Arabidopsis thaliana: one gene and its partner. The protein of the gene in region 1 interacts with the protein of each later gene in a pairwise test. Each region holds a gene or a part of one and is shown on either strand. Other genes may lie near its edges.

Region 1 (4,431 bases):
TAAATCTGGAGCTAGATTCACATAATCTTCACTGGATCATATTATCATAAATACCCTTTTTTGTCTAGTTCCGTTGCAATAATATGTAATATATATATTATATATACACGATTCAGACGTTTTGCACCTGGATATAGTGTTTGTATATATGCATATGTACACATATTATCTATTGTTTTGTGAAATGTGAAACCATAATTGTTCATTTTTCGCATTGCGGATATAATATTTTTATTATAGCTGAAAGAAAGAGAAGGATAGTTATCCACTTTCCGAATCCACGATTTGTCCAACTTTGTTAGTATCCTATGATTATCCTTGTTGTTCTCTAACACGGAAGGAAAGACTTGGTCGTCATGCCGCATTCCTTGCCTTGATTATCCAAGTGATAATTTTTTTTTTTATTATGATTTTCTGAATCTAGAATGTCTTGGACTGGGTACTTTGTTGTATTTGACAGTGCTAATTTACCATATGTTACTTTGAATTCAAATTACTCTTACTCATAATGACAGTAATCAATCAAATTCAATATAAATTGCTCTAAATTTTTGTGCACCAATAACTTGCTCTAACTCCTCCCAAAAAATTATTACTACAAACTTTAGTGATTTGGTATAAGATTGAACAGACTTACAAAATATAAACCATATAATACAAATACATAAACGGAAGTGCTTTACATCTTTGGAAACAGCAATATAATACATAAAGGGGGAAAGAACCAAATAGAGAAAAAAAGAGAAGTGAATTTTCAACTAATTTAATCTTATTTATATATAGAATTATAGATAATTAACAGATAAGAAAACCTCCAATCAAACTTATAAAAAAAAAAAAACATTTTCATGGCAAACCACTTATGTTTCGTCCATGTGTTCAACAAGATCTCCCACAGTAGAAATTGACGAGAAGCATGAAAGTTAATACAATCATATGAAATTCGACAAAGCAGACCTTAAGCTCTTTACAACATCCATGAGTGTCATGTCGAAATCACTCTCCTTCTGAAAAATAAACATCAAGCGATGTTACTCTAAAATTAAGAACAAGTTCTTCATTTATATGTATAAGTGTATGCCTGAATATACATTTGCATACCTTAGCTATAATGGTGATATCAAGAGTTGGTCCAAAATTCAATACACTTGAATTAGTTATCAAGATATGAAGTTTCTCAATCTCGGCCATAATCTTGGCAAGATGACCCTTTTGCTTCTCGCAAAGGATCTTGATTAGAACATCTTCATCCGAGAATCTTACCTCGATCTCGGGAAGATCCAAGTCCGAGAAGCCATCTTCACAAGAAGAAGAGAATGATTGATTATTATCGTCCAAGATCAGCTTAGACTTCTTCACAAGAACCATTGATTCCAATCTTCTTTCTTTCTTCTGTTCCTCCAACTCTCCCACTCTTTCTTGGAGATACTTTATATGCTTTAATGCATCTCCCAACACAGAAGCCTTGTCCATCTATGCACGCAATTAGAAAAAAATTACACCTATAGATTCAAAAACATGTATTTTTTTGAAAAAGGTAATCAAGAAGGAAGATCTGATGGTATGTATACCTTTTTAAGGCCAGGAACTAGAGCGGAAAGAGCTACGAATCTTTGAGTAAGCTTCTCTCTACGTTTTCTTTCGGCTATTATGTGATCCTGAGCATTGGATTGGTTTCTTGAAAACGGTTGAGCCCTCTTGGTCCCTTTTCGATTAAACTCATCACTCTTCTGGTGTGGTTGCACTTGAGCCTCTAATTTTGGGCTAAAGATTGAGTTTAGGTAGGTGGGAGAGTACTCGTGTTCCATATCATTTGAACCATAATCTTCGAAAGAGAGAATTCTTGAGGAAGAATGACGGTGAATATGATGGGGCTTTGAATTTGGAGGAAGATGAGAAGAAGGTGATATGTAAGTTGTCTCAAGGATCTTTGGTGGTTTCATTTCGATCAAATCATCATAAGAGGGATCATTGTTGGTCGTGAAAGAGTGTGGAAAAATGTATTGAGCTTCTTGGACCTCTCCCACTATTGAGTTCATGTGAAACTGTTGAATTATGCTATTTTCTTCTATTTCCTAAAATATAACATCACACCCAAAAGAAAAAAGAACAAAAAACAATGAAAAACAGTCCCAGATGACAACATATATACATGAGTGTATGTGTTTATGCGCATATATACCTGCTCAGAAAACCATCTTGTGGATAAGATACTCATTGCTGTTGCCTCTGAAAATCTGAAAATGGTAAAAAGAATATTAGTGTATGATTTATAAACAAGAAACTGTATTTAACCAAGAAAAAAGATAAATTAGCAGATCATCTTGGGTTTCAAATACAAGATTTGACGTATAGTAAAAACCCAAGATCAAGAAACATTTAGTAAGGGTTGAGATTTATGTTTTTTGAATCACAAAGAAATAAAACTCACCAGCTTCTAGGAGAAGAGAGAGAGAGAAGAGAGATTTGTGTGTGAAAACAGTGGAATGCACATGCATATATGTACATGTATATATAGAGATGGACACACATATGAAGTAATTTGCACGTGTGAAAGGCAATACTACTCAACTTTCACACTAAAAATATTCCTTTTTTCTCACAGCATTTGGGTGTCAAAACTAATTAATTATATTATAGATTGTTTTATATTTGTCAAATTTCACAGGTTGTTCAAAGTTACTCATTGACGTATACAGTATTTTGAGGTCCTATTTGAATGAATATAAAAATGTTGCGGGCCGGAGACAAAAAGGGTATTCGTCTATTGAATATATCAGGTTTTTGAGTTTATATTATTAAGTGTATTTTTAGGGTTTCTTCTTAGAAACAAAAAAAATCGCCTCAATTTTTATTTTGTTTTGATATATGTTTACTCATCTTGTTTCCCTTGGTTTTATTTTTAAAAAAATATTAGTTTCTCCATAAATACATTTTTCAAAATGCATCCAAATTTGACATGAATTTATGTATCAGGTGTGGTATGCGAATATGAAACCAATTAAAAATCAAAACTGTTCAAAAAAATATTTTCTAACATCATATAAAAATATTAAACCTTATGACGCGCATCAAAATGTTGTTGGCCAATTGTAAAAACATTTGTATATAGAAAGCTTGTATTCAAATTCTGCTATTATTACTGAGTAATAAACTTATATATATAGTCAAGTAATTTATACTAAAGTGTCCTTCACTCACTATCTGAATATGTATGTTGTTGAAGAACCAATAAAAGGAAAGCATTCATGATTAATTTTCATAAATTTCTTATGATAAGCGAACTTATGATAAGCAAAAATAGACAGAAGATGACAGGAAACTTTCCATAATCAAATTGTGGGTCCAATTGAATATAATCTAATACATATTCCCATTAGTTTTATACTTTTCTCTTGTAAACTAAAAATGTGACACCAACCAAAGATCTCGCTACGATTTTATGGTATATTATATGGTATTGGTTACGACATTAATTATTTCCACGAATTTTCTTTTTTTCAAGAAAATTGTAAATTCAACAATAAAAAAAAGATTAAAGTATGATTTGAATTTAACCATTGGCGTTCTCTTCTAAAAGCTCTCATCTTTTATACACAGTTTGATTAAATGTGTGAATCACCATGACTGTCAAAGACGTTCGATTATGAACAAACAAAATCACAAAAGTTTATATTTTATTCAATCAGAATATTCAAACATTATACTACAAGTGATCGACACTAAGATAATTTTTACTTTCCTGGAACTCATGTGTCTTGTGTCTTGTGCAAACGTGCTACTCTTAATATATAATCGATTAGGTAAAAATAATCAATCAAACATGAAACTCTTTTATGTAAAGTTGATATTTTAAGTCAAGTATTTGTCGGAATTGTTGAACTTCATAGAAATGGTAAGCTAGGTAAACAAAATATACTTGGGATATTATAATCTAAGTACTAAAATAGAAATAAAAGCCAGTTCACTTACAACTAGATCTCTCCCTCTTTTCCTCCATTACTACGCCCCATGACAGAAGCATCTTGGCGCCTGCAAACCAAATTCAGTGTTTTACAAATCTCCATAAAAATTTAATACTAAATCCCTCGAATTTTATATTTTTATATAGTATTTCATTTCTCAAGATCTAAATACTAAATTAACTATAATATTATCATGAGTATATTTTACTCTATAGTATAAAATGTGATAGAGTATATATACAGTACATTGTACACATTTACAAATAGACGATTATTTTGTTTCTATCTTTTTCTTCTTTCTCTTTCACTCTCTCTCTCAAGAGTTTGTTACAGAAGATTGAAGATTCCTGATATGGTATCAAAGCATCTAAATATTTAACAGTTTTCTGGATCTATATCACTATATTACTATATCACATCACCAAGACAGTACATCCCATGAAATATAAGCATCTTGGCTCTTGCA
Region 2 (3,279 bases), on another chromosome or scaffold:
ACACATCAATTCTTGGAAAAACTACTTTCATAAATATTCAACAATATGATCTATATATGCTGCGTAAGATTTTACCTTGTTAGAGTAAACCAAGCAATTGTGTTCTTTTCATAGGACTTGAGGTTTTATATAAAGCTTAAGTGGAGGAAGTGGAACAGTTTAGAGAAGACATGGTCAAAGGCCTTAATTAAAGGTTTCGGGAATGGAAGAGGCAACAAATAACGAAGTAAATCCAATTCGCCGGGTTCATGTACCACAAGTTCCGAAAAGAACACAATTGCTTGGTTTATGTTGTTTAATTATAACGGTTCAAGTTCTCATAATAACTAAACGGAATATTAAAGAAAGTGGATGTTCCATTGGATTCAATCAATTTGATATGTCAACATAATCACTTTTTTCTTTCACAATTCCGAGAACATAATAAGAGCTTTTGGACACTCAAGTCATCATTGAATACCACTAGACTTGGTCTGAAACCATAAAAGCAAATAAAGAACATATACCAAATCCACACTACAAAGCAGATGATATAAGATGAAGTTTGAGAGGAGTTATTGAGAAATGTAACCATGGATAGTGATCTTGAGAAATATCACACTTTCTTGTTAAAAGTTTCAGACTTTACCCATCAGACTGGTTCACTTCTACTCTAGAAAACTTGTCAGAATGAAAAACTAAAGAAAACTGAAACATACATTCCGCAAAAGCTTTCATTTTGCTCGGTCACAACCGCGCTTATTAGCTCACAATCAAAGAAAGTATAACATACTATTGTAACGGCGACAACTTCTATAGCCATGTTCTTTCAGAAGAACATAAACACTCAAAAGTAGTATTCATATAAGAATAGCTTAGAAGAACAATACACATCCCAAACCTCTCTCTCTCTCTCTCTCAATCTCTACACACCAAAGTTAGAGCAATGCAGAGATTTCTAAGCAACACAATGAGATGTATCTCACAGTCACAGGACAAGAATCAGTTTCTCCAATTAGTAGAAATGCTAATAGACACAACATCTTTAAAATTACCAATTCCTATAAAAGTTCCTCATGATCCATACATTCTCACTACACTTTTAGCAAAACAAGATTTTGATTTGAGAACAGAGTAAAATTTGCAATTGTGAACAAAATGAGAAATTTTACTTTAGGCTGAATCAGTCTTTGCTTTCCCTTTACTGAAGAAATCATCGATACGACGAGTCCCAATTGGCGGCGCCGGAATCTTCTTGTCGGAAACCGATTTGGTATGTTTGACAGGCTGAGCCGGCAACGGAAGCGAGTCTAAGAGGAAATCACTAGTAGGTTGGTGTCTTTTCACGGCGATTCTTAAATGATCGAGATTAACAGTCTTACGCTTCTTCTCCGCCGTAACAACAGCAGATTTCTCGGCGAGGAAGTGGAGGAAGAGTTCGGTGGAGTAAGTGATGACGTGAAGAGCTTCTGAGTTGATTTTGTTGATGTCTTTGTCCAGTTTCATTATCTTCTTTACTCTTCCGATTGGAAACTCTGGTCGGATTGATCCTTCTTCTTCCTCCATGGATTTTGATTTTGATTCTGTTGAGAAAATCTGATTAAGGTAATGAATTGTATATGTTCGACATTTTTAGGGTTTTGAGATTTACGCGCTCTGTCACGGCGGGAAAATGAAAATGAGCAATGAGAAAACATGTAAACCGGATTAACCAAAACAGCCCGAACGAAGATTTTGCTAATTCGGGTTTTCAGCTTAAACCGATTGGTGAGATTGAGAAGAACGTTTGGTAACCCGGTATGGTTCGTAGATTTTTATGTTGTAGAGATTGTTTCTACATGAGTCACTGTCTAGCTCAAACTAGTACTAGTAGTCTATTTTAAAGTTTTATATTGAAAATTTTAACCGATTCTTTCTTTTACTTGGATCACATTGTACAAGGAATTCTAGAAAGCTACAAGTTGGTACAAATCTCCTAGCTACCTGAATTGAACCCCATTGATCCTTCACGAACGCAACGGATTTAAGGAGTGGCATATCGAACTAGAAATGCCATCAAATAACAAATGAGCTTTAGAGATAGTTCCAAGTGTGGATAATGATTTGAGATTATACTTCTATATGGCTGTAGGAAGCCTTTTTTTGGCTCCGAGATGTTTCTAATCTTGAGACTTGAGAGACCATCTACTACAATTGTAGCTGTTTAATTTGTTATAACTAATCCGTTTCCTCTTTACTATTCGCAGCTTTTCACAAAATTCACACACAACACTCCTTCCTCTACAACGTTTTGAGGTTGTAGACATGAACCAATTTCATACCATTGGAACAAGAGGCTGTTGAAACATCTCATGGTCACATATTGAGTACTAGACATGAACCAAACACATCCAACAAAGTCCATTTACAACAATATACAAGAAGAAGCTAACTTTTCGTATCATTGGATCAAACCCATCATCTTAATTCTTAATAGTTAATACTAAAGATTTGAGCCACCAATAATGACAAATTCGAATATTTTGACTATGAACAGTAACAAAACAACCCAACACAAGAAAAAATATCACAGAAGCTATCAAATCTGTTTCTCATCTATGTGTATATATATATAATCAACTTACAAGACAGAGAGTGAGAGAGTTCAAGAGAGAAGAATCGTTTACAAAGTATACAAATTTCTTGAGAATCATCAATAAGGACGATTCGGTGGCTGAACCGTAATCTGAGCCGGTAAAGGTCTACCAGTTCCAGAACCACCACAATTGCTACAAGCCGCACGACCTGAACCAGAACACCTACGACATCCAACGTCACCATCGGACCATCGAGAACAGAAACACGTGACTCGTCCAGTACCGTTACAAGTCGGACAACGAGGGAATTGACCAGCCATAGGCTTTTGGTCCATGACTGATTTGATAAAGACCGCACCGGCTAAAACGCTGATTCCTGTAGCTAACTGGGTTATGACGATCGGACTCATTGTTGGTTTCAATAAGAGAGAGAGGTTTGGTTTTGGTTGCCAATTTTGGGGATAACGCAAAAGTAGAATCGTGAAGAAATTGAAGAAGAGAGACGTCTCGAGGAAAAAATAAAAGTTTTTTTTTTTTTTGTGTTCAGACAAAAGTGTGGTCTTGTTTTAATTTGATACGGTTCGGTTTATTTTTGAAGTAAATACAATTTTGGGAGATAAGGGAATGGTTGAGAAAGTAAACACGTGGGCTAGTGAGGGTTAAGTTGTTGTGTGAGGAGATGAATGAAACAGCCGTGTTTTTTTTGGATACTCCAGTTTTTGGA

What was found.
Region 2: the proteins of AT4G37850 (region 1) and NF-YC13 interact in a two-hybrid assay, tested with the Arabidopsis thaliana proteins (one large-scale study listed by BioGRID).

What each region holds. Positions count from the first base shown.
Region 1 is NC_003075.7:17,795,430-17,799,860, forward strand, and holds AT4G37850 (basic helix-loop-helix (bHLH) DNA-binding superfamily protein), read right to left. Parts: upstream 2,473-4,431; 5' UTR 2,432-2,472; intron 2,276-2,431; exon of another isoform or gene 2,238-2,275; 5' UTR 2,219-2,237; coding exon 2,183-2,218; intron 2,076-2,182; coding exon 1,572-2,075; intron 1,474-1,571; coding exon 1,102-1,473; intron 1,008-1,101; coding exon 933-1,007; 3' UTR 643-932; downstream 1-642.
Region 2 is NC_003076.8:17,355,022-17,358,300, forward strand, and holds NF-YC13 (nuclear factor Y, subunit C13), read right to left. Parts: upstream 1,686-3,279; 5' UTR 1,546-1,685; coding exon 1,153-1,545; 3' UTR 824-1,152; downstream 1-823. Other genes in the region: AT5G43260 (chaperone protein dnaJ-like protein), read right to left, coding at 2,672-2,965.